Mus musculus: one gene and its partners. The protein of the gene in region 5 interacts with the protein of the main gene of each other region in a biochemical or structural test. Links are inferred from orthologs where the notes say so. Each region holds a gene or a part of one and is shown on either strand. Other genes may lie near its edges. The genes, in order: Rab5b, Map2k7, Map2k3, Lgals8, Lrrk2, Mapt and Rab8a.

What was found.
Region 1: of the proteins of Lrrk2 (region 5) and Rab5b, one has a biochemical effect on the other in vitro, tested with the Homo sapiens proteins (2 studies listed by IntAct). The link is inferred for Mus musculus from reciprocal best matches to the Homo sapiens genes LRRK2 and RAB5B.
Region 2: of the proteins of Lrrk2 (region 5) and Map2k7, one has a biochemical effect on the other in vitro, tested with the Homo sapiens proteins (2 studies listed by BioGRID). The link is inferred for Mus musculus from reciprocal best matches to the Homo sapiens genes LRRK2 and MAP2K7.
Region 3: of the proteins of Lrrk2 (region 5) and Map2k3, one has a biochemical effect on the other in vitro, tested with the Homo sapiens proteins (2 studies listed by BioGRID). The link is inferred for Mus musculus from reciprocal best matches to the Homo sapiens genes LRRK2 and MAP2K3.
Region 4: the proteins of Lrrk2 (region 5) and Lgals8 form a complex in vitro, tested with the Homo sapiens proteins (2 studies listed by BioGRID and IntAct, with this or other methods). The link is inferred for Mus musculus from reciprocal best matches to the Homo sapiens genes LRRK2 and LGALS8.
Region 6: of the proteins of Lrrk2 (region 5) and Mapt, one has a biochemical effect on the other in vitro, tested with the Homo sapiens proteins (3 studies listed by BioGRID and IntAct). The link is inferred for Mus musculus from reciprocal best matches to the Homo sapiens genes LRRK2 and MAPT.
Region 7: of the proteins of Lrrk2 (region 5) and Rab8a, one has a biochemical effect on the other in vitro, tested with the Homo sapiens proteins (2 studies listed by IntAct). The link is inferred for Mus musculus from reciprocal best matches to the Homo sapiens genes LRRK2 and RAB8A.

What each region holds. Positions count from the first base shown.
Region 1 is NC_000076.6:128,693,469-128,697,530, forward strand, and holds the start of Rab5b (ras-related protein Rab-5B), read right to left. Parts: upstream 2,801-4,062; 5' UTR 2,718-2,800; exon of another isoform or gene 2,420-2,717; intron 1-2,419. UniProt on the Homo sapiens protein: The small GTPases Rab are key regulators of intracellular membrane trafficking, from the formation of transport vesicles to their fusion with membranes.
Region 2 is NC_000074.6:4,245,069-4,248,397, reverse strand, and holds the end of Map2k7 (dual specificity mitogen-activated protein kinase kinase 7), read right to left. Parts: intron 2,856-3,329; coding exon 2,810-2,855; intron 2,704-2,809; coding exon 2,569-2,703; 3' UTR 742-2,568; coding exon of another isoform or gene 639-741; 3' UTR 501-638; downstream 1-500. Other genes in the region: Tgfbr3l (transforming growth factor-beta receptor type 3-like protein precursor), read right to left, coding at 46-115. UniProt on the Homo sapiens protein: Dual specificity protein kinase which acts as an essential component of the MAP kinase signal transduction pathway. Essential component of the stress-activated protein kinase/c-Jun N-terminal kinase (SAP/JNK) signaling pathway.
Region 3 is NC_000077.6:60,930,909-60,934,853, forward strand, and holds the start of Map2k3 (dual specificity mitogen-activated protein kinase kinase 3), read left to right. Parts: upstream 1-1,145; 5' UTR 1,146-1,314; coding exon 1,315-1,363; intron 1,364-3,945. UniProt on the Homo sapiens protein: Dual specificity kinase. Is activated by cytokines and environmental stress in vivo. Catalyzes the concomitant phosphorylation of a threonine and a tyrosine residue in the MAP kinase p38.
Region 4 is NC_000079.6:12,458,939-12,463,042, reverse strand, and holds the start of Lgals8 (galectin-8), read left to right. Parts: upstream 1-1,304; 5' UTR 1,305-1,802; intron 1,803-3,726; 5' UTR 3,727-3,827; coding exon 3,828-3,869; intron 3,870-4,104.
Region 5 is NC_000081.6:91,728,724-91,732,223, reverse strand, and holds part of Lrrk2 (leucine-rich repeat serine/threonine-protein kinase 2), read right to left. Parts: intron 3,309-3,500; coding exon 3,050-3,308; intron 760-3,049; coding exon 571-759; intron 1-570. UniProt on the Homo sapiens protein: Serine/threonine-protein kinase which phosphorylates a broad range of proteins involved in multiple processes such as neuronal plasticity, innate immunity, autophagy, and vesicle trafficking.
Region 6 is NC_000077.6:104,229,936-104,234,235, reverse strand, and holds the start of Mapt (microtubule-associated protein tau), read right to left. Parts: upstream 2,801-4,300; 5' UTR 2,629-2,800; intron 1-2,628. UniProt on the Homo sapiens protein: Promotes microtubule assembly and stability, and might be involved in the establishment and maintenance of neuronal polarity.
Region 7 is NC_000074.6:72,159,871-72,163,999, forward strand, and holds the start of Rab8a (ras-related protein Rab-8A), read left to right. Parts: upstream 1-1,329; 5' UTR 1,330-1,488; coding exon 1,489-1,612; intron 1,613-4,129. UniProt on the Homo sapiens protein: The small GTPases Rab are key regulators of intracellular membrane trafficking, from the formation of transport vesicles to their fusion with membranes.

The DNA of each region.
Region 1 (4,062 bases), on a different chromosome or scaffold from region 5:
GATTTCTGAGTTAGAGGCCAGGCTGGTCTACAAAGTGAGTTCCAGGACAGTCAGGACTATACAGAGAAACCCTGTCTCGAAAAACAAAACAAAACAAAACAAAACAAAAGGATGGCAAAGATTACAGAGGGTGAACACACATACACACATCCCAATAGTTTTCTCCAGGACTGACTGTGTAGGTGAGAAAGTGGGAGGAGGGGTAAACTGAGGTTTTTGCTGGACACCGTGCAATGACCATATTAGAGGGCTTCAAAAAGTCAAAAAAGTCCAAGTTCAAATTCAGAGAAATATGGGAACTTCTTGGGTCACTATACCAAGCCAGGTACAAGACCCTCTTCTGGAACCATGACCATCTCCCTGAGATAAGGAAGAGACAGTCAAGTACTGTGAAAATGTGGATGAACGAGGGGTTTCTGATTCTTCACTCTAGTAGAGATGCTAACAACTATCCTAAACAAAATTATTCCCCTTATTGTTTCTTTCTTGCCTATAAAAGTCTTGCTTATTATGCATTTGGGCGGTTTCTAGACTACCCAGTGCACCACTATGTGTATACACTGAAGAAGGCAAATGATAACTCAAAGGACAGCTCTATGTTTGTTCTGAATTTGATAGAAGGCAAGATGAACGGCAAAGGGAACACAATAAATAGCAGAGTGTCATCCAAGAGAATGTCGTGGAGAGAATGAGAACAGCATTTAGGAGCACATGAAAAAAACCTGTCTTTGCTTGGGTTTTTTTCATGTGCTCACTAAATGATGGTCTCATTCTTTCCATAGTATTCTGCTCTTGATTAGTCTTATTTAATACCTCTAACTGTCCTAAATGAAATAAGCTATGTATAGAAGGACTCAGATTTTATATATTTCTGTACAGCTTAAACACTTTAATATATGTATGTGTTACTTTGATAATTAAGAAATGTAGTGATACAAGTTATGGAGATGGCTTGGCGGCCCTTAGTGCTCTTGTAAGAGACCTGTGTTCAGTTTCCAGCACCAACACGGCAGCTCCTAATTGTCCAGCGGGTCTAGTACCTTTTCTGACCTCTGAGGGGTCCTGCATGCATGTGGTATATATGCAGGACACTATGTGGTAAAAAAAATAAATAAATTCAGTGATCACTAACATTAGTATAGAAAGGAAAGAGGAGGAGGAAGAGGAGGTAGAACCCTAAGGGAGAAACCAATAGGGTCCAATCTATAAAAAATTTGACAGGTTAGCAAACCCCTCCCTCTATATGTGTGTGTGTGTGTATATATGTATGCATACATACACACACACACACACATGCCATGTTTGAATACCAAACAGCCACAAGTTATCCTCTGACATTGTGGCTCACATATGTATGCAGGTTATTACATATAATATAATTTAAAGACTTCTTCATTCTCTATAATCCATCTTTCTAAATACCTCAAGGTTTGACCTAAATAACTAATCTCACACACACACACACACACACACACGTTCCTGAATAAGTGGGCAAAGAAGAAAGGATGGTGCCAACCTTCTGGTAGCTAACCTCTCAATTCTTCCCCAAATCCCTTCAGGGATATCACCTCACAGTTCCTGGCGTGAATAGTCTGTCCCATTAACTATCTAGGAAATGCTCAAGTGCAAGTCTCACAGAAGTTTCAATAAACATGGTCCTTTTTTTTTTTTTTTTTTTTTTTTAATGGCTGGGGATTGCTTTGCCCCTTTCCATGCAAATGACAGAGTTCCTCAAATCTAGGTTAAATAAGCGTAGTCACCACAGATCACATTATGAAGTGGGAAAGACTGAGCAAAGCACTCCCAAATTTTCTTAGTTCTCTCACAGTAGATGAAATAGGAAAAACAACGAATACAATAGCAAACCTAAAGGAAACAGGAGTGCAGTCATGACTAGCTATGAGGTCAGGGTAAACTAAAGTGGTGTGTGTGTGTGGGGGGGGGGGGCTGGACGTAGAGCTGCCAGGCGCCATGGAATAATACATAATTTTACCTTTGTCTTCATTCCCTATTCCTGAAGTACCCCAAAACTTCAAATCACCACACCCAAGCACTAAAGGAACAGAAGAGTAAGGAACTTCCAAGATACTGAGCCTCCCCTCACCATCATTCCAGAAGTTCCCATTACTAATAGCAAACCGTTTCTACTTCCTTCCACTTTGGTCTTCTACATTCTTCATTGACTTCAGTGAGACCAAATCCCTCTCGGCAACACCAGTACCCCTAGTTCCCCTTTCAACAGTCACTTTCCCTGAAAAGAATGCCTCTCTCGGCTAAGAGCCCCAACAGTGGATGTCTCGGGAGACCCAGCCTCGGCTACCCTCGGGGCTGGGCGTAGCACTGTCCCCTCCACACCTCCAGCCAAATGGGCTGGCTTCCCCTCCCTCACTGCCTGGTCTCCGACCCCAGCTCCTCCCTCCTCACCGCGGTGCTCAGAGTCCCGAGGCCGGCCCTGGTCCTCACCGGCTCCGGGTCCCCGCGCCCGGCCCCCGAGCGGCCACCACAGCCAGAACCCAGCCGCCTCCCAACTAGAGGCTCGGCTCCCAGCCCTGCCGATCACCTCCTCAGCGCCCACTAGGCCTGTGGGACAGCCCCTTCGGCCCTCTCCAGGAGGTTCTGGAGCCCTGACGTCGGCCCGCCCCGCCTCTGCCACAGGCCAGGCGGCGCTCCTCTCGGGACCTCCGCCTCTGCCCTTGTGGGCTCCATCAGCTCGGTACCTGGGGCTCCGTATCCCCCGTCGGGCCCAAGCCTGTGTGGAACAGACAAACAGCTGCAGCTCAACCAAACTCCTACCCCCTTCGCCTCCTCCTCCTCCTCCTCCTCGCCGGGGCGGCTCCAGCCAATCGCAAGATCACCCGCCTACCGTGGTGGGTGGGCTATGTGAGCGTCCGCCCGCCAATCTTCTGGAGAAAGGCGGGCTCTGAGGGACTATCACCAACTAGCACAAGTGAGAGACTGGATTGGCGAGGCCGCAAGCCAATACCTACACGAGAAGCCTTGAAGATTGACGGGATAAGTAGCCATTAAAGAGAGAGCTCCTGGGAAAGGGGGCAGTGCATCACTGACAGGCATGTGCGTCAGCCAATAGAACCTCAACACCCGTGACACCCCTCCCCCGCCTCTCGACTCGTAAACATCTAATCAGGTGAGTGAAGAAGGCGGGTCAAAAGGAAATTTTAACCAGTATTGGGAAATTTCCGAATTTGACAGGCAGGCAAGGCTAGTGAAGAAGTGAAGAAGGCTTTTGGTCGGGTGTGGTGTGGCACTCCCAATCTCAGCACAGTGGATTGGGGTGGAGGCAGTTCTGAGTTTGAGGCTAACCCGGGATACTCAGTTTAACAAGACCTCAGTATAAGGGGGATGGGGAGGGGAGTAAACTGGGCTTGGTGGCCCACATGTTTAATCCTAGCAATCGGGAGGATCTCCATGAGTTCCAAGCTACACAACGATGTCCCCCCCCCAAAAAAACAAAAACAAAAAACAATGATACCAGCATTAACCTTCTCTTCTCCCCGTGCCCTGCTTTCTGTGTCAAATTAAGAAAGTAAAGACCCTGCTGGGCATGGTGGTGCACGCCTTTAATCCCAGCACTGGGAAGGCAGAGGCAAGGCGGATTTCTGAGTCTGGCCAGTCTGGTCTACAAAGTGAGTTCCAAGACAGCCAGGGCTACACAGAGAAACCCTGTCTCGAAAAACCAAAAAAAAAAAAAAAAAAAAAAAAAAAAAAAAAAAGTAAAGACCCAAAACCAGGAAATTAAACAACTTTTATCTTGTAAATTCTTTTTAGTGGCGCACTAGAGAACAGTAGTTTTGGGGTGAATTGCCATGACAACAGAAAGTGGTAGTCTGAAGACACTTTAGCCTCCTAAATATTTTCACATTGATATTTTCTGAATTGTTTGTAAATGTGAAAAAACATTTAGACAACTTTGCTGAGGATTTTTTTTTTTTTTCGGTACTGAGGATTGAACCTAGGGCCTAGAGGCAAGCTAGAGAAGCATACACTTCCGGTAGAAGACCCAAGGCCTGTTCCCAGTACCACTGCTCACAGCTGCCTGTAACT
Region 2 (3,329 bases), on a different chromosome or scaffold from region 5:
GCAAGTGGGACACAATGCCCCCACCCCGTGGCAGCCTCTACGTACCACGTGGTGTACCGTGCTTACTGGAGGTCCCAGGGAGCAGGGCCAGGAGCAGGAGCGCAGTGCCCACCATGGCGGCCTGTCCAGGTTCGAGTGCTCCAGACCGGCAGCGAGCACCTGGCTGGGCTGTACCCAGCCCTCTAGGTGTGGGTAGGTAGCCCTGGCCTTGGTGAGGCTGCCACCCTGGGAAGCAGGGAGCGGGGGCGGAGGATGGAGGGGCTGACATCTGAGCACATGCTCAAGGCCAGCCATGGATAAGGGCTTTCTTGATGTACTGAAATTTCTACAAGGGGGGCCCCTCACAAAGCTGCCTGATGCCTTCGGTCACTCCAAACACCTCCCACCCAGCTCCCGGCCCGGCTAGTTTCCCATGAATGTCATCCCTAACCACACTAAAAGCCCTCCTCCCAGGCCCTTCCCATATCTCTGTACACTCTACCAGGCTTAGGACACCAGACTCGGAAGAAAAGGGAAGGGTTTTATTCTCAAGCGTCTAAGGATTTACAAACAAGGGTATTTTGTTTTAAAAAGGGAAGAGGGCAACACTGGTGGCCTGAGGAGGAGGTCAGAGGGTGGGACCAGGCCACTCCAGGTCCCTACCTGCCCGAGACCCACTCTGCCTGGGCCTGAGGGATGGCTGGTGACAGAGGGAAGGACTTGGGAGAAGGTGGGGAAGTGGGAGACTCCTCCAGACTCCCACTTAACATTAGAGGGCAGTAGACAAAGACAACACAGACAGACAGACAGACAGACAACACACAGAAAATAAAGTTAAATAAAAATAAAACCATCAGGCCCAGTCTTGGGCCTGTGCTGGCCCTGGGACCAGCCATGTGACCTAAGTACACACAAAGGCTAGCCATGCTGCGGCCAGCCTCAGAATGGTAAGGGTGGGGCCGGGCTTGCTACTCTCTCCCTACTTCATTCCGCCTCCCCAACACAGGAGATAAGGAGAGAGGGTGCCCTACCCTACCCGGGCATAGAAGATGACTTCTATTACGATTTAAGCATGCGGCATTGTGAGAATAGGATGAAGAGGCGTCAACAGGACAGTTAAGAGCCACAGTGTCACCTAAGCCTACGTATGGTTGCATCAGCTACTTCCAGCAAGGTTTCTCAACTTTGGTGCTGGGATTTGTGGTTGTAAATTTTTTTGTTTTGTTATATTGTTCTCTTGTCCACTTGAACTGCATGCATCACCAACAAAAAGGAAACATACCCCACTCTGTCCTCGAAACTGCAGGACAATGGGACAGGCACCTGGCCCAGTCCAGGCCACAGGTTGGGTTGGAGCTGGTCAGCTCTAGGTGAGCTAAAGCATGCTCAGGGGCATGTTGGGAGTAAGTCGCGTCGCATCCCAATACTCTGGCCTCCCCTGCATTCACGCCTGTCCGTCTCGTCCCTGATTCACATGCTCGGACCTCCACATCTACTCCCTTCACTCCTAATCCCTGACTTCTCGGGACCCCTCCTGCCCCTTGGCAGGATTCCCTCCTGTCACTGTTCCCAACAGTCCCTCCCTGCTACCTGCTACTCTCTACTGCATCCCTCATACACCTTCCCTGAAGGCCATCGTGTGGCTGAGGCCCCTGGTCTCCCTCTGTGCCACCTGAGCTCTTCTACTCAACCCCAAACTGTCAGCAGCTCCCAGTCCCATGTGAGGGTCCCCCATGGAGCCTGGCCTCTCCTAGGCCAGAAATGACAAGGAGCAGCAAGCAGTCCAACCCCCAATGCCTGAGGCAATGGAGGAGAGGGGGCCACCACAAGCAGCTAAACATTACTTTGGTAAAATTTTCTGAAGGTACCGACCCCATGAGGACACCCCCCCCCCAACACACCCCCACCAAGTACAATAAAATACAATAAACTCCAAAAGGACCCCCTGAGATCAAAGAGAGACAGACAGACACAGAGACAGCAACCATTTGGCTGCAGTCACAATGCCCACAAAGCCATCCTAGGACAAAGACTTAAGGAAGCCTAGATGAACCTGGGGCTTCCTTCCACTGAGGGTAGAGTGGCGGCACCCAGGCTTCAGAGGCTGGGAGGGAGACAGGGGAACCAGAAAGGGACAGTGGTAGAGAGGGAGGGGACAGAAGGAAAGACGTAGAGCAAGCATGTGTGCGAGAGAAGGTGGAGGGGACAGACACTGGGAGTTTGGGGGGATGGGGACAAGGGGCTTTCTCTCTGCCCCTGGGGGTTACCCCAGCCCAGAGGTTATGATTGAATAAATAGCGAGTCTGCTCATGGCCTGCTGTCTTCCGTTCACAGTGTCTGTCGGGGTGGGATGGGGCTCACACTGCTGGCTGACCCCAGAGTGGGAGGGATTAGGAACCAGCATGCCCTTTTGTCCACAGCTGGTAGGCAGGGAGTCAGAGCTGGATGGGAACCCCCTACTTTCTGTCCTCAGTCCTTGGCAGTCGTCCAGGTCCCAGGTCCCCTGATGGGCAGCTGGGTTGGCCAGGTTGGGGGGGGGGTCGGTGGCCGTGGCCCGGGGCCCCTGCGGGGCTGGCCGCTGCCATGAGGCTACCTGAAGAAGGGCAGATGGTGCTGACTCAGGACTCCACTAGTCCTTGGGGACTCGGTCTTCGCCATGACATCCTTAAACCAGGACGCGACATCCACCTCGAGTATCTCATAGTGCTTGATGAAGCTGTGTTCCTGTAGGCCCAAGAGTTTGCTTATTATGAGGAGTCAGTCCTCCTGGTCTTGCAACTGAGACCCGGAGGACTTCACACGTGGTGGGGGTTGGGGGAGAGGTACTCACAAGTAGCTTATTATACTTTGGTCTCTTCCTGTGATCTTTAGTAAGGCTGGACAAAGAGCAGGGAGAAAAGAGAAATGAGAGTCAGAAAAATGAAGCCCGACTGTGCCTGGATGCCCATCTATGCTCAGGCCCTCCCTCTCCAGTAAGCCAGAAGCAGCTGCTCACAGCCAGGCTCCACCAGGCTGGGGATCCACAAACTCTCCTGGCCCAATATAGTATTAGGTAAAGACCCAGCTGGGGAGCTGGAACCACGCGCAATGTGAGGGTCACATCAGAGAAAGTTAAGACTCAAGTGTGATATTCCTACACAACCTCCATTGCAAAGCCACAGGGTCGCCATGCCAGACACCCACAGGGCCAGCGGTTCCCCACAGGTCCAAACAAACCCAAAAAGTGACTCCCAGGGCTCCAGCTTTAACTCCTGTCTACAGCCACAAGCCATGGGTGTACCTGTAGCTGTGCCCATCTCATCCCGTCCCCTTTTCCCAGCCTCCACCCTCCCCAGTAGCATGAGGACACC
Region 3 (3,945 bases), on a different chromosome or scaffold from region 5:
TCTGAGTCACCCTGGTGCCCAAGAGCCTGGCACGGGACTAGTCACTTTACCCATGTCTGTGGCATGCTTTTCCTACTTCCTCTGTTCATTCCTTAAATATTTCTTAGGCACCTACTATGTGCATGGCTCTGGGCTAAGCCTTGGGATTCAGCAGAGGATGAGACATTCAGGATTCCTAATGGGGAGGGGCACGTGGCACGGGAGGAGGGCTGCGGTAGAAATCAAATATGCAAGCCAGGCATTCGGGGCCTGAGTGTTGGCCAGAGAGCTAAGACTTACTCCAGCTCCGACTGACTCCTTGACCTTGTGCTTCTTGCCCTCACTAGACCTGACTTTCCAATCGACCCCAGAGATTCCTGGTTAGTGTGAGGACAGAGGCTCAGCGACCGACGGCCGAGATGGAACCCCAGTCAAGGCTGGCAAAAGGTATTTCAGTGTTTGGAATGACACTTTGTTTAATCGGAGACTACTCCCCAGCCCGGAGAGTGGAGCTGCTATAATGTTACAACCAGTTACTTTGTCACTAGGCAAAGGTTAGCCACTGAATTCCCCGCTCCCTAGGTGCTGGCGTGCCAGGTGCTTGTAGAGGCTGGACTTAAACGCGTGCTCGTTCAGCAAGGCGCAGTAAACTCTTTCCCACAGTCGGTGAACACTCACCTGGCACGCGCCCGCCGTGGGATCGCTCTTTTCCTGCTGCCCTAGGAGGCAAGCCGGTGGTCGCCGCTCTCTTCAGGGGAGCACATGGACGCTCATCCTCGGTATGGCTCAGCCATTTAGGAGTCTAGTCTCACTCAGGGAACACTTTTAACCCCACGGAGCACATCGGCCCTGCCCTGCCCCCCTAGAGATCTTGGGATTTTCCAGATTGCGACCCGCACACGCTGTGCCATAGGGGGGCACAGGCTGGGGCACCCAGGACCACGCCAGCACAATCCCCCGAGTGGGTAGGGCAGTCATCTAGACGGCAAGAGGGCGGAGCCGAGCTGTACTAAGGGGAAAGCTGGGTTGGATTCCGGCTCTTGGAGGGTGGGGTTTGTGCGTGACAGTCCGGGCGGCGTCTGATAGGCTGGGGCCTTTTCAGGCGGGCCAATCAGTACGATGGGCGGGGCCTGCGTGGCGCCGTCGGCAGGCGTCCGGCGCTGCCCAGTGTGGCTTTGGCGCCGCCCGCCTCGGACGCTTGGAACCGTCGCGTCTGTGTCGCCTGTCGCCCATCGCCTGCCGCCGCTGCCAGCCACCAGCAGCCATGAGCGCGCCCGGCCCCGGTGTAGTCTGCTGTCCTCTAGATTAGTGCTCTCCGCCGCGACGGTCCGCAGCATGGAGTCGCCCGCCGCGAGCCCGCCGGCCAGCTTGCCTCAGACCAAAGGTAGGCTCTCCCGCCCTGTTGCGCGGCCCGTGCCACATTCAATTTGAGTCCGCCCGTGATCCTGGGCTCCCTTCCGGGCTGGGCACAGACGTCTGCACTCCAACCCAGGACTGGGTCCAGCCCAAGCCCGGGACCTCACGGGACCTTATTGGAATCCGGATCTTAGGCCGTGGGACTTCACCCAGGCAGGACCTAGTTCTCGCTCCACTCCCAAGTCTGTAGCCTCACCGTGAGCTCCTCATTTAGGCTTCCGGGCTTCATCCTGGACTCAGGGATTTCAGTGATCCCTGCTAGAGGGTCTTTGGGCTGCTCTAGCCCTCTCAGGCCAGGCTCTTGGATTTTGTCCAGGCTGGAATTTACTCTGGGCCCCAGGGCTGTGTTCCCAATGCCGGAAACCTGTCTACTCAGAGCTCCTCCACTCTTCCAACTCCTTCCATCCTTGTGAATCCTCCTTTGCCCCATGTCTTGCTGGCCTGCTCACTGGCTGCCTGCACTCCTCCCTAAGGCTGTCCCTGTAGAACTTCCTGGCGTCTCCACTTCGCAGCTCTGCCCATGCTACCTGCTACTCAGTTGCAGTCTTCTCACTGAGTTTCCCGAGCTGACCGATTCTTGCACCTAGTGTTTCTTAGTCTGCTCTTAGACGTGCTGTTTGGTCCTTGGGCTAGCAGCAGGCCAGGGGCTGGCTGTGCAAAGCTTGTCCTTCTCCAATTAACTGTCTTTCCTGGAAATTTCTGTGAGGTGGCAGTGGTGCTGCGTGGGCTGCAGCAGCAGCATTTGTCATGGGAAGTGAGGGGGACAAGATTTGGAGGTCAGAATGCTTTTTTTTTTTCTCCAGGAAGAGAGAAGGATGTTTTTTTTTGACATGTCAGAGACTCAGTAGGGTTGATCTGCAGAAAAGATTTCCAAGCTGGACCTGGAGATATGAATGGGTTGACCCTCTGAATTCTGAACTGCTTCACCTGGCTAGTCTCTGGGCATGTCTAGGACTTATTAATGAAATGGATATTAGGGGCGTGATGTGAGATTGAATGTAGAGTGGTTTGAAGCAAGCACGTCTGAGATGATCGAGAACCCAGCATAGCGCCCAGCACATAGTAGGTACCCAGGGGCAAATAGTTGTTGCACTTCCTTGACTATCTCCAGCTTTCCTGCTGCAACGCTGGGCCCAGTTTTGGATTGCAGCTGCAGAGCACAGAGGACAGGGATGGCGGGCACCTAAGAGGGTACTTGTGCAGTGGTGGCCTTCTCTCCTTCTGACCTAGGAAACCTCAACCTCAGGAGTCCTGGTCCTGGTCAGGTTGTCCTGAGCAGGCGGGGGCCTTTTGGGTCCCCTACAGCTGGCTTCCATGGCCCTGCAGGAGCCTAGTGGACGGGGTAATTGCATCTTACATAAGTGGGAGGCCAGATCCCTGACCATTGCCCAACTTCTGTGAGTAACTAGGGAGGCACTTATTGGGGGAGGTGGCTGGGGAGGACCTTGCAGTGCAGACCTCGTGGAACTTGAGAACCAGGAAATTAGATGCTGCTCCACTCAGGAAGGGTTTGGAAGCAGTGTTTGTTTTGGAGGCATTTCAGCTCTTCCAGGCAAGAGATGCCTCACCAAAATAAAAGTTGCAGTTGCAGATCACAGCCGGAGAGATTGTGAGTGATAGGGAGAGACCATGGGCTTTCATGTGCTTGGTGACTTGAGGCCTGGCACTGGACGTTCCGGGCCTCTCTTCTGAGTGTGAGTTTGCAGATTGTAGGTTAGGTAACATGGTATTGGATGGTTTGGGTGGAGGCTTTTTCCTGGGCCAGAATCCCTGTAGCCTTTTAGGGGTCTGGAGATAGCTGTAGTGGGAAACTGACAATATCCATTCACCAAAACTCTAAGAGGTTTTTTTTTTTCTTTTTTCCACGTGTTATACATTGCTTTATTACTCATCACCCCATTTGCCCATAAACAGAGGCTGGGGAACACTTACCATTCACAGAGGCTGCACAGCTATGTTGGCAGAGCACAGCTACAGCAGGTTCTATGATGATCTCCTTCCATCCCGTTCCCATGTGAGGTGCTTAGGGGAGCCATGGGACCCTGGGACCCTGGCTATCACCCCCATGTTCACTGGAGCGTGAGGTCTGCTGAAGCAGAGGACCACCTATCATGCACGCAGTCTTTACAGTGGATGCTTCCCTCAGTGTGACCCTGCAACTGGTGCAAAGTGGAGACCTTGGCGAGGCCATACCAATGTGGACCCTGACAGGAACTCTTTTTCACCTTTGCAGGAGACTTAAAAATTACACACACAACCAGGCAGTGGTGGTGCACGCCTTTAATCCCAGCACTTGGGAGGCAGCAGAGTCAGGCGGATTTCTGAGTTTGAGGTCAGCCTGGTCTACAGAGTGAGTTCTAGGACAGCCAGAGCTACACGGAGAAACCCTGTCTTGAAAAGCCAAAACCAAAAAAAAAAATATACACATGATATATATATATATATATATATATATATATATATATATATATATATGCATGCCACATGTAGTATACTAGTATACTTTGTGGGTATCAGTTCTTTCAGTTCAGTCTTGTGGATCAACCTTCC
Region 4 (4,104 bases), on a different chromosome or scaffold from region 5:
AACAGGTTCTCCAGGGAGGGAGTCGGAATTAAAAAGAAAAAAGACAACAAGACAACACTGTGGCATGACCCCAGCGAGTTCTGAGGCTGAGTCAGGCTTATAATGTTTTTCCAGTCTGCTTTGATACCAGTTTAAGTACATGCAAAATAATATCAGTTCTGGGTCAAGGACAAGCAGGACTATAAACACAAACAGTCAAGGAACAAAGTCCTGTGATCAATGTTTCCAGGCAGGGGCTTATCAAGATGACCAAGATATCTGAGCCTACTTCCCTCTCCTAGCCCAAAGTCACATTCTTGACTGAAGCCTACTTCTTTGCTCTAGCCCAAAACGATATTCCTGCCTGAGCTTACTTCTGTGTCCTGGCCCAATGTTTAATTCCTGCAAAGTTTCTAGAAACGGGCTCCAAAAGCTCTCCACACCCTATCTCTTACAAACCCCAGAAAGTGTAGTGAGAAGCCTACCACACCTAGTAATAACAACAGAGCTAAGACAACATACATCAAGGGTTAACTCCAGCTATTAAAGTAGAATCTTGAGGAGTTAATCAAAATTAGAAAATGGACATGAGGAAGGAGAAAAAGTAACGAATCAGAACACGAGGTTGCTGCTAAGAGGCTTTAAAAAAATAAAATACAAGTTCAAAACAAAATAAAACACACAGCCAGAGAAAAAGACCAAATGGCTATGTCAAACATGTCCTTTAAAAACAAACATGGCTAATATCTAGAAAAGAACATAACCTTGAGGCCATTAGGACATCAAAACTAGGTAGCTCAGTCAGCCATTCTCAGCGCCCTACAGTTTTATTTAAGTTTGTTCGTACAAATACGGGGCAAACCGTCAGCAGTGCAGCGCCCTGACTATGCAGCTCAGTGCTTATTGACCATCTACTCTGCTCAGAACTGAGCATCAGTGTCTAAACTGTTTCCTAAGGAAGCGTTCCCTGTAGTAAACTCCAGCACAGAATAAGCGGCCAATCACCCAGTGTTGACATGTTCTGGCTACTGCTCACAGGATGGGGTTTCTTGCAGGGACAAAGAAGAACGAATTCCTCCACACACAAGGCTAGTTATTGGCAATGAGTGGCTGCTAAATCTGATTGGCTCACAACATTGTTCAGTTCTGACCCAAGGCTGCAAAGGAGGCAAACCCAGGAGTACCCCGGCCACACCCCCCACGATTATTCTTTAAGTGTATTTTTAACACCCTTGAGATCAGGTATCTGTCCCAGAGTGACCCCGAATTCCTTAAGTTCTCCAGTATGACATTGAACTTGTGGTCCTCCTGCCTCCACCTCGCAGGGCTGGAACTACAGGGGTGCACCCCGACCGATTTGTGCAGAGCTGGGTGGAAATCAACCTGGGGGCTTCCAGCACGTGAGGTGAGCCACACCCCAACCCCAGCCAGCCACTCCCACAGCCAGCCATAGGTCTGCGTGTGTGACATTAAGAGCCCAACAGCCCCAGCTCGCAGCACTCGGACGCCCCGCCCCTGCAGTCGTTCTCGCGGAAACGGCCGCGGGCTGACCCCGCCCTCTGCCTGTGGCGGCTCCGGGAACCGGACGGCGTCCGTCAGGGGACACAAGTCGGAGCAAAGCGCTTACTACCACCGGGGTGAGTCCTGGCGACTGCGGGCTCAGGGACATCGGGATACCACTGTTCCCGGACCGGAATCCGAGTGTGGACACGGCATCCCGCCGTCTCCTCCGTGACACATGCACGGGGCACCGGACACCGGGAGCGATCGTGGGTTGAGGCTTGTACTGGGACCGTAGTGTCGGGACAACGCTGACTGCTGCGGTGAGGGCTCTCCGCTCGGCGGCTCACCTGCCAGGGAAAGGGCGAGCATCACCTGGATCCCCAAGAATGACAGGCCCAGGGACAGTTGACAGCTGTGTCACACTCCGTTATTCCAGACACGCACTTTAGCATGCTGCGTCATTCTATCCCAACGTTAAACACGGGGAAACGCAATTTCTCTGGGTTTGGGAATCGTCCTAAACCTAAGCCACGGCTTGTTGTGACTGACGGTGATACGTGTCTGGAGACTTCGGAGAGTAGTTATTTAATGCCAACCTAGGCCATCTTGATCTCTCTCCGGGAAAGATATCAATTATGGATGTGGTGATGGCAATTCCTTGTCTCCTTTTTGCTCTAGTTCGTGCTTCCTGGATTGCACAGAACAGAATTAAAGGCTCAGAGGATTTGAATAAAATGAGTTAGTGACAGATACTAGGTAGGGGTCTAGGGTGGTTTTTAGGGGTGTAACCAAGAGAGATGCAATTTTCTTTTCTCCGGTAAAATAAGAGATTTGGCGAGTGCCTATTGTCTACAGCCTGGCGGAACTGTAGGAAGTAAAAGACAGGAAACTCTAGTTTCATTTTCTGGCTTGGTTCTGGTTTGAGTCATCAGGACTAGAGGTAGTAAATGATTCAGTGGGCAGGGCGCAGTGCCGAGGGGGCGCTCTTATCTTTCAAAACCGGGCTGATGCAAAACATTGCATTTGGTATTCCCCGGAGTAACTCTGCCACCCCCACCCCACCCTCAACTTACTTAATTTGGCTGGTTGAAGAAGAGCAATGTTTTCTAGCAATAATAGCTAACACATACAGAGCTGTTTTCTGCTATTTAAACTAGTACAATCCTCAGGGCAATCCTATGATGTGATTCCTACTTGTTTTACTAATAGGAAAAGTTAAATGAATATTGTCCTGGTTTCAAAGCACTGCTTGAGTGATATTTGTGTCTTGGTTTTGTGTTATTTCCTAGCTTGTATTTTATTTGTATTTACTGCTTTTGATTTGTTTGGTTTTGCAGTGCTGGCACAGAACCCAGGGCCTCATCACACTAGGCAAGCTCTCTATTCAGCCCTTAAACATTATCTTGAGACAGGATGCCTTAGTCTCTATTCTCCTGCTGTGAAGAGACACCATGACCATAGCAACTCTTTAAAAGGAACGCGTTTAACTGGGGCTTGCTTATAGTCTGAGAGGTTCAAGTCCATTGTCACCATGACTAGAAAGCACGTGGCATGCAGGCAGACGTGGTGCTGGAGAAGCAGCTGAAAGTTCTACATCCGGATTCCCAGGCCGCAGGAAGGGAGAGGCACTGGGCCTGGCTTGGGCTATACCTCTTAATCCTTTTAAATAGTTCCACTCTTTGGTGATTAAGCATTCAAACCTATGAACCTATGGGAGCCATTCTTATGTGAACTGCCTGCCACACGGGATCTAACTCACCTAGGCTAGGGTCCAATTGTTCTTCCTGTCGCAGGCTTGCTCACAAGTGGCTTCGATCACAGGTATTGTGCCACCACACTTACAGTTTTAGTATTTTTAACAGGAAACTTCATGTAATTTCCTCCTTACATATTTTTTAAATAATTCCTGCACTGATCACTTAAAATTATTTCATTTAAGGCCAGGCATGGTGGCACATGCCTTTAATCCCAGCGCTTGGAATGCAGAGGCAGGCAAATTTCTGAGTTCAAGGCCAGCCTGGTCTACAGAGTGAGTTCCAGGATAGCCAGGGCTACATAGAGAAACCCTGTCTCAGAAAAAAAAAATTATTTCATTTCTAAGTATGTTATGAAGACTATATGGTAGGACTTTGGTTATACTAACACTTATTTGGTAACTATCCGTAAAGTAATATAATTTACATAGAAAAGTTTGATGTAGAGAAAAATCACGCATGGCTGTTTTTCTATATTGTTTTTACACAGGACAAGTTTTTACTTTGAGTAATCCTTAAATGAAGAGTGGGTAAAGTGTGTATACGGAAGAGAGACTCCAATCAACAATATCAATAAGTTGAAAAAGAAAAATGTTGTCCTTAAATAACCTACAAAATATCATCTATAACCCGGTAACAGATTTTTACCTTTTTTTTTTTTTTTTTTTTTTTTTTTTTTGCCTGTGGTAGGATTGACAGGAAATACACTCAAGTTGTAATTATCACTGGGGCCAGGCATGAACACACAGTTCAGTTAGCACACACACACACACACACACACACACACACACATGTATGCATAAACCTTGACGCTACAACACACACATGAAGGGAAGGTCTGGGGACAACTCTTGGGAAATTATATTCT
Region 5 (3,500 bases):
CATAATAAAGTTAAGAAATAACTTTCCGGCTGGGCATGGTGGCGCACACCTTTAATCCCAGCACTTGGGAGGCAGAGGCAGGAGGATTTCAGAGTCTGAGACCAGCCTGGTCTACAGAGTGAGTTCCAGGACAGCCAAAGCTACACAGAGAAATCCTGTCTGGAAAAACCAAAAAGAAAAGAAAGAGAGAAAAGGAACGAGAGAGAGAGAGAGAGAGAGAGAGAGAGAGAGAGAGAGAGAGAGAGAGAGAGAGAGAGAGAGAGAGAGAAGAAATAACTTTCCAAGTGTAGTCCAGACTCTTTCCTTAGAATTTCTTGATTTTCTACCTATAACCCTGAAAGGCTGGCATCATTCACTTATAAAGGTTAAGAAAATGACAGAGCCACAAAAGTCTAGTGGTATCAGCGCATGGACAGCAACTCCGGTGTGAGAGTCATCTTGCTGTAAGTGTGTACTTGCATGCCTGAGCCCTTTGGTTCACACTGGGATGCAGCGCACAGTTTCTTGAGCTACAGCATTCAAGGCCAGCGTGTAGCTATGAGCCACAGTGGATCTGTTTGAAATAGATACCTTCGCTATCCAGATCATCGCTCTGGCCAAACACACTGTCCATAGAAGAGTCGGGAATAAAGGTCCATTCTCCAAATTTCGCCAGCGCGTCTTCAGAAAACTTGCCGTCACTGCCTGAGGCCACGCCTTCTTGAAGGGTGTTTCTCATCTGATACCGGAGCACTTTCCTCGCTAGGACAGATCCTGTGTCTAAAAATAAATCAAACGAAATCAGTAATTATCCAGCATAAACATAACCTTTCTCAAGCTCCTTATACAGACCTGATGCTTTTAAAATAATTTTTCCTTGAAGAATAACTTTACTATATACAGTAATAGTGTATATTTGCCATATACTCTTTTCTATTACATTCTAATTTTAGTATCTGTGCTGCAGCTATATGAGGCTTGGGTATTATGGGCATTTTCAGACATGAAGCTAACTTAACTCAGGGCAGAGTTGGACTGTCACATGTGATGCCACTTGCAAGCTCATTAAGCTCTCTCAGGACAAATCAACTTACCTAGAACAAGTAGGTGGCCTGTTCAGAGCAGGATTATAGAAAATTAAATAACATGATTATGAAATCTTATGACAATGCTAAAATTTGTAACAAACAAAATTTGTTCAGTGGCTCATGTGATACAATTTTAACACCTGTGCGGGCTTATTTTATGCCACCTTGACACAAGTTAGGGTCATCCTCAAAGGAGGGAATCACAGTTGAAAAACTGCCATGATGAGATTGGGTGATAGAAAGTCCTGTGGGGCATTTTCTTAATTGGGGGTTGATATGGAAGAGCCCAGCCTACTGTGGGTTACACCATCCCTAGGCTGGTAGTCCTAAGTGCTGTATAAAGGAAAGTTGAACAAGGCATGAGGAGTAACCAAGTAAACAGCCTCCTCCATGGCCTCTGTACTAGCTCTTGCCTCTGGCAGGCTTCACTGAAAATAAACCCTCTCCCCCCCAAGTTGCTTATGATGAATTTCAACCCTAAGGCAATTCTCTTCTCAAGTTTACATTACATTTTATATTTATTTTATACCAAGAAGAAATGTGCTGGCAGTCACCATTGATCTACAGAAACCCTAGGAGATTTCTTCATAATAAATACAATATGTGAGTCAATCAAATAAGACCTGAGAAATATTTCAATGCTATGCATTCAAATTTTTCCTTTAGACAAGCAACCAATGGTATCGTGATTTTATCTTCCAGCCCAAGTGACATTAACACTTTGAAAATTACATCAAGACTTGCCACTGTAAGATCTTCACATGAAATTAAAGGAATACCAAATTTACATCCGAGGTCACAAACCCATTCTGCCAGAAATCAGAGAACAAAGGTGAGCAAGGTAGCTCACATCTATGATCCCACAGCTCAGAAGGCAACGGTGGGTTTGCCTTCAAGTTTAAATTCAATCTACTTTACTTAGAGAGTTTCAGGTCAGCCTGGGCTACACAGAGACACCCTGAAGAGAAGGGGATATAGAGATGGGGGAAGGAAAAGAGAAGATGGAAGAAAAGGAGAGAGGGGGGAGGGGAGGGAAGGGGAACGGAGGGAAGAGGAGGGGCATCATTTGTAGAACTATTATTCAATACAGTGTTCTATTTTTACCTAAGTGTGATTAACACAACCCAATGGAATTTTCAGCAATCAAAACACCATTACAATGTTAAGTTTGTAATCCTTTCTCGACCAGGTTCTTACTACACTGCCGACCCTGGCCTCACAATTCCCGTCTGAACCTCTCTGGTCCGTGTTTATCCACATTTAAGTTTGCTGCCTGATTCTCCTGTGTGACTGCAAAGGAGTCACTGGATGGCTTTCCCATGGTTTGTTGTTTTGTTTTGTTTTGTTTTGTTTTGTTTTGTGTTTTTGAGTATTTCTCTCTTCCCCCTAATCTTTTTATAACGTTTATTAATAGTTTTCATGTATATTCTCATACATAAAAATCTGTATCCTGGATGTCTAAGAATACATCATAAGTGAAAGAGTAAATAATTAAAATGTTTTATGTGTATGTCTTTCCCTATACAAATAAAACATTGTATACATTAGATTTAAAAAAAAATTCAAAAGTACATGGATTGAAAACATCAAAAGGTAGTGAACAACGGTCCTCAGGAAGAACACTTTTAATTACCGTTGATGTGTGAAGTTCTTGCTATATAGCACATGCTTTCTGTATCATTTACTACCAGCTCACCCTTGCACATTTATGAATATCCTATGACCATATGTCACATGTAAAGTAGTAACATAGACACTAAGATTCCAAGAGTGGGAAAAGCTAACTGACATCACCATGCTTATAATCTACTACAAAAAGATTGTAAAATTTAAAAAAATACAATTATCTACCATGATGATTGAGTTTGTGTACAGTGCATTGGTGGGATAGTGTCTGTGTAGCATGTACAAAGTCCTAGGTTCAAAACAATGCTGTTGGGTCTACTTGAAGTAAGAGACGACACATTCTTATTGGTACTTACTTGTTTGCTTCCTTAAATTGGATGACTTATCTGGAAATAAAGGACCAAGCCAAGAAGGATCAATTTTTCCTATGCCAAATCCTCCAAGGCAAATGCTGTTGTTGGCCAGGTCCAGGGCAAGTTTCCTGAGGAGCAAGCTGATGACCTGGCTGTCGCCCTTTTGGATGCTTACGGTCAGGGCCTTCCGTACATCTTGTTCACGACAACCACCATTAAGCAACAGTTCCACCAATTTAGGACTGCTCTCTTTCTCACATACCTAGTTTCACAAAAAAGAAGAAGTGGACACAAAACTTGAATTTCTTCTCTTTGGCTAGACAGAAAAACAGAGCTTGCTATGGTCAATCTTCATACCTCAAAATTAGGTTGAAATGAAATGAAATAAGGCAAAACTTATTCCTGTAGTAGACATAAAAGATAAAATGAAATTATTGCCACAGATGCAAGGCTA
Region 6 (4,300 bases), on a different chromosome or scaffold from region 5:
GCCAGCACAGTACCTCACTCGACCCCTCAACACAGTGCAAAATGGGAGTTCGAAGACGCTGTGATCTGAGCTTTGTTTCTGCACTGGGTAAAACGTTCTGTCTCCTCCCCCTCCCGCTGATTTTTCCGCTGTGACACCTTTGCCCAACGGGCCCGCTATAGTCAGCCCCCCCTCCCAGCCTTCCCCTTTCCGCATCCAGCCCAAGAGCCTGGCTTCTTCTAGCTTAAGAATCCTGTTCCCAGCAGCCCGTCGTGTGGCGAGGGATGGGTAGTATTTGAACCTATCTTTCAGATGCTCGCGAAATTTCTGCCAGGCGGGCCCGGCCACGATGCCACAGCCTCAGGCCGCGGTTTGATCGGGAGAGGGCGTTCCACCCCCAGCCTACATCAATCTGAGTGAGCAGTCGACGTGGGCAATTCGGCCCTTAAGAAGCTCATCCATCGGTCTCAAAACTGCTTACCCGCACCAGTATTCAGCGGTAAAATTAACCAGAAAACCTCGAAGACCGAGCTTACTGTACGGTGGGGAGGCTGGGACCTCTTAGCTTTCTATCCCTCTCTGGTTTCAAGGGCTGTTGTAGATGTGGATTTTTTTAAAAATGAAAGTCCCTCATTTAAATGATATTAATAAAATAATATCAGTCAGCACGCTTATAATAAAATACATTAGAGGCATCTCTCTCTCTCTCTCTCTGGATGGCTATGGTTGCCAGTGCCAAGAGAATGATGCTCGCATCAGGGATGAGGGGCCCCTTCCTCGTGTCTTCCAGGCACTATCAGACTACCCCAGGATTCTAAATCTCCGCGGAGTAAGGGGGGGGGTGGGAGGTAGGGGGTGGGAGGTAGGGGGTGAGGTAACGCCCAGAGGTTCCTCCTCTGGCTGGTGTGGTTCCTATGGCAACCCTTAACCCTCTCTCCTTGGGTTGGGAGGGATGGGTGTGGCCGCAGTATCCCAGGGGATCTCATACCCTCTCCTCACACTCTCCCACCGGGAGAGGCAACAGGGTTCAACGGTGGTGGTGGTGGTGGGGATGCGGAGTTGAGCTTGCCGAATCTCCCCATTCCCGAGGGTTATCTGGCTCCCCTAGCAGTGAAACACAAGTGGGGTGTGGTCCTCAGGATGGCCTGGGTGTGGGGAGGGATGTGCTTCCTCTGAGGGCTCCTGCACACGAGAGTCTATCTCGAATCCCACCCATGTGGCTCTGGGTCGAACTGGGGAGTGGGCTGCCGCAAGTCTGTAGATCCAACAAAGGGTCTGAAAAGAGTGGCGAAAAAAGGATGGAGCTGCTCCGAGTGCGTAGGCAAATATCCTCGTCGAATGAAAGCTTCCCGCCTCCCCCCGCACACTCCCCCAAAAAACCAGGGCTGGGAGCGCAGATCCTAAATCACACGACGAACAAAGCAGCGAGCTCCCCTAGACGACCTCAGGTGAACGCTCTGGTGCGCACCGCTGCAGAGGCAAAACGCCAAGGCTTCCGTGTTCATCACCCCCTGTTCTTTAACATGGGTCCAAGCCGGGTCCTCCAAAGCCTGGCCACAGCTCTTGGCATGCTACGATAGAGACGTGACTCGCCGCAAAAAGATGGCACCTCGCGTTCAGAGAGGGGGGAAAAAACGGAGAGGGGTGGCAGCGGGAGGAGACACATCGTACTCCCCCCTCCTCGCCCACCCAGGTCCACACCCACTGCCGCAGTGAGGGGCGAGCCCTGCGCGCCAGCCCGCGCCTCCGGCAGGGAGCGCACATGCCGGGAGCCCGGCGCAGAACGCAGAGAAAGAAACGCGCCCCGAAATGCACCTGCAGCCCTCGCGTGGGTCTGTGCCTGGCTGCAACGCTGCGCGCCCTCGAGCGGGGAGCCGCTGCCAGCCAGCCCGCTGACACCGCGAGGCCAGGTGACCCCTGACTCTTCGAGCTCCCACATTGGGATCCGCGCACTACCTTCTCTCGGGCACGGCGCTGCCCCTGTCACTGTACCAAGCGCGCGCAGGGGGAAGGGCGACTAACGTGACAGCGCCTGGACCCCTCCCCATCCTCCGGATTCCTCCCAGCCCCCAAATGTCCCCTGCCGGCTTCTGAAGGAGGAAAAGGGGAGGGGGCGGGCCACCGCCTTAAATCAGGGCCAGTGAAGGCCGTGTCAGAATCGCTGTCAGGGAGGTGGAGAGACATGAAGGCAGTCATCTTTTCTAGAACCCGATCCACACCTTCCTTAGGGCTGATGGCAATCAGGAGCAGAGAAATCCGATTTCAGGTTCTGTTTCGGGGGTCGTCGTTGGACCCCCATGCACACTCACAGACCCACGCCCATTGCGGCAAAAGGCTGAGATCCAGATTACAGAACAACCCCTTCCCTAGGTCACCGTCATCCGCGCCCCACCCTGCGGGCACAGCCCCCCTCATTTGCGCGGAGCCGATAGTGGGGACCCCAGCACTCATAGATACACGCATTCGCTCGCGTGCGTGCATCTCTTGCACGCGTTCCTTCCCAGCTCCCCAGCGCCTAGGGCGCAGAGAGGCCCCCGCCGTTGCGCCTGATTGATGCCCAGCTCCCTAAATCCATCTCTGGGGCGAGGGGTGGCAGGAGGACGGCGCACAGGGCCAGAGGGGACTGGATTTCAGAGCTGCGGCGCTTACCTGATAATCGACAGAAGGCGAGGACAGAAGAGGACAGCGGAGGAGAAGGTGGTTGTGGCGGCGGCGGCAGAAGGTGGGCGGTGGCGGCGGCGCTGCTGCTGGTGCTGGAGCTGGTGGGTGGCGGAGACTGAGAGCGCGCGCGGCCGAGAAAGCGCGTTCTGGAGGCCGGCGGGCAGCGCAGGCGCGAGCCACGGGAGCGCGAACCTCCCTAGGGGAGGGGCGGGCAGCGAGGCCTGGGCGGGCACCTCCCCTTCCGACCGCTAGGGGGCGCACGCGAGCGCCCCTCAACCCTCCTCTCTCCGCGCCGCTCGGCTCGCCCCTCTCCGCGCTTCCCTCCCCGGGTCCCGCCACGCCTCGGGCCGCGGTGCTGACCGCCGCGCGCACGCGCATTCCGTGGCGCACGCGCACCCGGCCTCCCGGGGCTGCAGCCTTTGTCTAGTCCAGGGGTCCCCTCCCTCGGTCCCCGCGGGGTCCAGGCAGAGCGGTGTGTCGGTCATCGTCCGCTTTTCAGTTCACCCTCGCTGGCTCTCCAGGCGGTACACCGTGAACCCCAAGTGCTACAGGCTCCCCGAGTCTCCTAAAATGTGGCCCTCCAGATAGAGCGCACTTTCTATTTCCAGGGCCAGCTGTTCGCTTGCTTTCTTTCCACCTGTTTTTGTTAATGGCCAAAGTGAATGATTTCCTTGACAAATCTTCTCGAAACAGATTAACTTGACCGTAATACACTTTAGCGTTTTCGTGGAAAAACAATTGTTTTTAAATCAAGGAGCATTCAAACCCATTAGGTATCTTGACTGTGACCCTAGCGAAGAAAAATCTTTAAATAGGTAAGTTCTAATGATGCTTACCACACACACTGCAAGGCATTTTCACAGAGTTATTTTTATCTCGTTTATTGAAACACCTTTGTACAGCGTGAGAGCTGAATTTTTAAGGTGCCTGCTGGAGATGGCCACCTGCTGGATGTCAAGCTTCCGGTTGAAATTGGTCATTAGTTCTCCTTCCAGCTACGTAGGCGTGGGCTGTGGCTTTAGCTTAATATCTTACCTCCCCAAAGCTCAATTCTCTTGGACAGCTGGAGCCTGTTCAAATGCAAGGAAGAGAGACAGGCACCTACTTCTTGCCAAAGAGGCGAAAACTTGTCTTGAAGCTTTCATTTGCATGCCGTTTTTTCTTTATTTTTCAAGGCAGGTTCTCACTATGTTGCCCTGGCTGGCTTGGAGCTCACAGAGATCCCCTGCCTGCCTCTGCCTCTAGAGTGCTGAGATTAAAGGTGTGCACTGCTATCCCAGCAGTTGTTTCTAAAACTCCAACGTTGTACCTGCTCGGTGTGTTGGCTCACATCTGTAATCCCAGCATTCAGATAGGCTGAGACTTGTTCAAGATCAGCCTGGGCTATATAGCAGAATCCAAGCCAGCCTGAATTGTATTACAGGGTGAAAGTGAGTCAACAAACAAACAAACAAACACACTTCTGGGCTGGGGGGGTGGATGGTTGTGAGCCACCATGTGGTTGCTGGGATCTGAACTCAGGACCTTCAGAAGAGCAGTCAGTGCTCTTAACCCCTGAGCCACCTCTCCAGCCCCCAAAATAAAATTTTGAGATAACTTTGGGTTCAGTTTTCTAGCACCACAAACATTTTTTCCCATATGAGCTTAATTACTGAATTAT
Region 7 (4,129 bases), on a different chromosome or scaffold from region 5:
GTAAGTATGCCCAGGAATTGAATACAATCCTCAGATTTAGCAACAAATGACTTACTTTACTGGCTGAGCCATGTAGTCAGCAACTCAGATCTTTTTTTTTTTAATTTATTTATTATATGTAAGTACACTGTAGCTGTCTTTAGACACCCCAGAAGAGGGCATCAGATCTCATTACTGATGATTGTGAGCCACCATGTAATTCAGGACCTCTGGAAGATCAGTAAGTGCTCTTAAACACTGAGCCATCTATCCACCCCCCCCCACTCCTTTTTTCTTTTTAAGATTTGAGTACACTGTAGTTGTCTTCAGACACACCAAAAGGGGGCACTGGATTCCATTACAGATGGTTATGAGGCACCATGTGGTTGCTGGGTATTGAACTCAAGGCCTCTGGAAGAGTAGTCTTAACCGCTGAGCCATCTCTCCAGCCCTCAGATGTTTATCTTAATGTGGCTTTATTTTATTTTGTCACTGTTCTCCCGTTACTCCGGGACTACACCTCAACATATTAAAAAACAGAAGGGAAAAAAAAATGCTACTCTGAAACCTAGGAAAGTCACTTCACCTGTCTTCAGTATACTTACCATAAAACGAGGAAAAGATTACCTACCAAGCCGGGCTGGTGTGGGGTGAAGGACCTTGACTTATTTTTAAGTATAGATAGCACCCGCAAGCACAGAAAAGAAAACAAAACAAAACAAAACAAAAAACGCTGCCATTACTTGGAAATGATAACATAGCCCTACCGGCGCTGAAGCCCTGGGATCGCTCACGGCAATGGCCGGCTTGCCTGTACAGCACCTAAGTAAGTCCAATGGTGGGCGCCAAGGCCGAGGAGCGAGTCTGCAGCACATCTTAACCCGCGCCACTTTTGCACCGCCGAAAATCCTCCTCAGAAGCATTACCACAGGTACTTCCTGCGCTTCGCCTCAGCGCCGGCTGCGGCTACGGCTGCTGCTGCGCAGGCAGAGAAGGCGGGAAACACGAGGCGTTCTCTGCGCGCGTGCGCTCTCTGCCAGAGCCAACCGTCTTCCCAGTACGCTTGCGCCTGTTCACCAAGCCCGTCCCTCCCACTCTCTCATCAACCAGCGCGCGGAATTGTTGGGGTCCCTCCTGTCGGGGGCAGGGCCTGGACGCTGAAGGGCTGAGGAGAAGGCGCGCACGGGAAGGCGGGGTCAAGATGTGACCACACCCATCGCTGGTCATTTGACGCCCTCACCCTCGACTCTCCAGCACTAGCCAATAACAAACCTCCCTATACCAAGCGTCAACCAATGGGCTGTGCAGTCGGCTGCTTCCGGCTCTGCGCCGCTTTCGCCTTTTTCCCCTGGGCTCTCTGCGACAGGCGGGGCTCCGGGTGGCGGGCGTAGGCCTGGATGATGCGCGGCGGGCAGGGGGCCAATAGGGGGCGGGATCTGAGATGATAGACGGGTCCAGCGACCAGTGGCGAGGCGCCGGCCGTACTTCCCGTCGGGGAGAGAGTGTAATATGGCGAAGACCTACGATTACCTGTTCAAGCTGCTGCTGATCGGGGACTCGGGGGTAGGGAAGACCTGTGTCCTGTTCCGCTTCTCCGAGGACGCCTTCAACTCCACATTCATCTCTACCATAGGTAGCGGGGCCTTGGGCGGCCGGTGACCAGGGCTGGACGCGCCCCTATGGGGCTGGGCTGAGGGATCGACTCAGGATCCACTCGGGCCGAGGATCCGGGAGGGTCACGGGGCTGGACAGAGAACCGCAGCGGCCTCCACCTCCCGCCAGGGAGTCCAGGCCGGGACCCTGGCGGGCGCCGGAGACCAAGGTGCAGACAGGGACATGCAGGCTGCAGTCTGAGGAAGAGCCTGCCCTGGGGTCCTGGCGCCTGTCAACTCTCTGTGTCTTTACATCAGACCTCTACACTGTTCTTCCGGGGAGACCCCCGTCTTCCAAAAGTGGAAACTGAGGCATGGAGGTGACACCTGACCTCGTAGTTTCCTATGTGGCAAGCTTGGCATGTGCAGTATCAAATCTGTAGTGTACTCGTGATGGGTGCTTTGTCCCTGGAGGAGGAATTTGAAACTGAGGGAGGGTGCGGCACGCACTGAAGGTCACAGTCTACAGGTATTAGGGATGAGATTTGAACCCAGGTGTGTCTGACTCCAAAATTCAAGGTTCAGCTGTTCCAGAGCTTCAAAGGACCAGCACCACTGATCCACATCTAAGTCAGGACTCCAACCCAAAGTCCTCCTGCCTTCTCTCTGAGGAATGGTGACAGTATCTGTCATCCTGGTGGGAATACAAGAGAAAAAGTTCCAGTAAGAAACTAAGTCCAGCCATGGCTACGTGCAGCCTTGACTGACTTCCTTTCACTGGGCCAAGAACACCACCTGAACAGCTTTTCCCCAGGGCTGCCTCACGGCACAGTTGAACAGAATTGGCTTGTGATGGCCCCAGTTCTGACGTCAAAAATGGTGCTGACCATGCTCCTTACCATGAATAGTCATGGCTCACATTGAGTGTTACCTGGAAGTAAATCCTGCCAAACAGAGTGACCTGGATGGTGTATGGTCCTGAAACAAGAGAATAGTCACTAGGCTTGGTTTATCCCTAGTCAGGATGTGGTTCCATTGTTGGAACCCTGGGTGCCATCTCCAGCACCCTGAAACCAGATGTGGTAGTGAACACCTGTAATGACAGCACTAAGGACAGGGAGGCAGGAAGATCGGGTGCTCAGGGTCATCCTTGGCTACATAGAGTGTTCAAGGCCAGCCTGGGCTGCATGAGACCCTGCCTTGGAAGGAAAAGGGAAACTGGGGGATGATTTCTGTGTAATGTCAACTAAGTTGTTGTCTCCCTGACCTGACCGTCATGTGATAATGCCATCTAATATCTCCTTCCCAGTCAGTGTTCTGAAGCAGTCGTGTGTCAGGCGTCAAGTATAGGGAACTGGACAGGGAATCATCATACTTGAACTCTAGGTTGAGCAAGCTCTAACCCTCACTGACCCAATTTTATTTAGAGTAGATATGGCACTGTCTGTCTTGTCTGGTGCCCTGGGTGGTTGAGGATTAGATCTATACAACCAGTGGAAGGTTCAGTCTGGAGGAAGCAGAGGGTTTGGGCACAGGTGCATTTAAAGCCTCTCCCCCCACACACACCCCCACCCAAACACTCAGCTTTGGAGTTACCCTCAGGTGAGGACCAAGCAGGAAGTGACAGTAGCTACCCACAGGCTCTGGTTTGTTCTCAACACAGACCTCAGTTTCCCATCCTCAGACACTTCCTAGTCAACACCAACATGGTGACATTAGTTCAGGGGTGTTTTGTTGTTGTTGTTCAATTTGGCATGCATGCATGTGTGTGAGCATGTTCCTGTGTGCATACAGGAACAGTCGGGGTTATTCCTCAATCTTCACCTCATTTTTAAAAATTATTTTATTGGGAGTGTATGTGTATGCTTATGCACATGTATGGGTCAGAGGACACCTTTTAAAGTCTGTTCTTTTCCTCCCACCATGTGGGTCCTGGGGATTGATCTCAGGTTGTCAGGTTTATGGGTGAGTACCTTCACCCACCAAGCTATCTTTGCTTGGTCTCTCACTGATCCTGGAGCTCACCAAGTTTGAGGCTGGATGACCAGCAAGCCTCAGGACCCTTCTTTCTTGTCTCACCAGTGCTGTAATGTTATGTAAGTTTATGCCACCATGCCCAGGTCTTCATGCTTTTGTGGCAAGGACTTTAGGGATTGAGTCGTGTCCCTAGCCCTTGTTTGTTTGTTTGTTTGTTTGAGACAGGCTAGCTATATAACCAGGCTGTTCTGGAACTCATGGAAATCATCTGCCTCTGGCTCCCAAATTCCAATGTCAAAAGGCAACTTACAGGAGTCAGTTTCCTCCTTCTACTGAGTAGGACCCAAGAATTGAACTCAAGTCATCAGGCTCAGTGGCAAGCACCTTTATCCACTGAACCATCTTGCTGACCTGTATTGCTTATTTTGCATCTCATATATGTTTGTTCAATTTTTCTTTTTGAAATACTGGGGATGGAGCCAAGGGCCTCAACACAGGTCAGCTACACATCCTTTTCCATCTGGCTGGCTTAAAACATTTTTTTTAAGTTTTTTTTTTTTTTTTTTAATATAGGTGAGTAC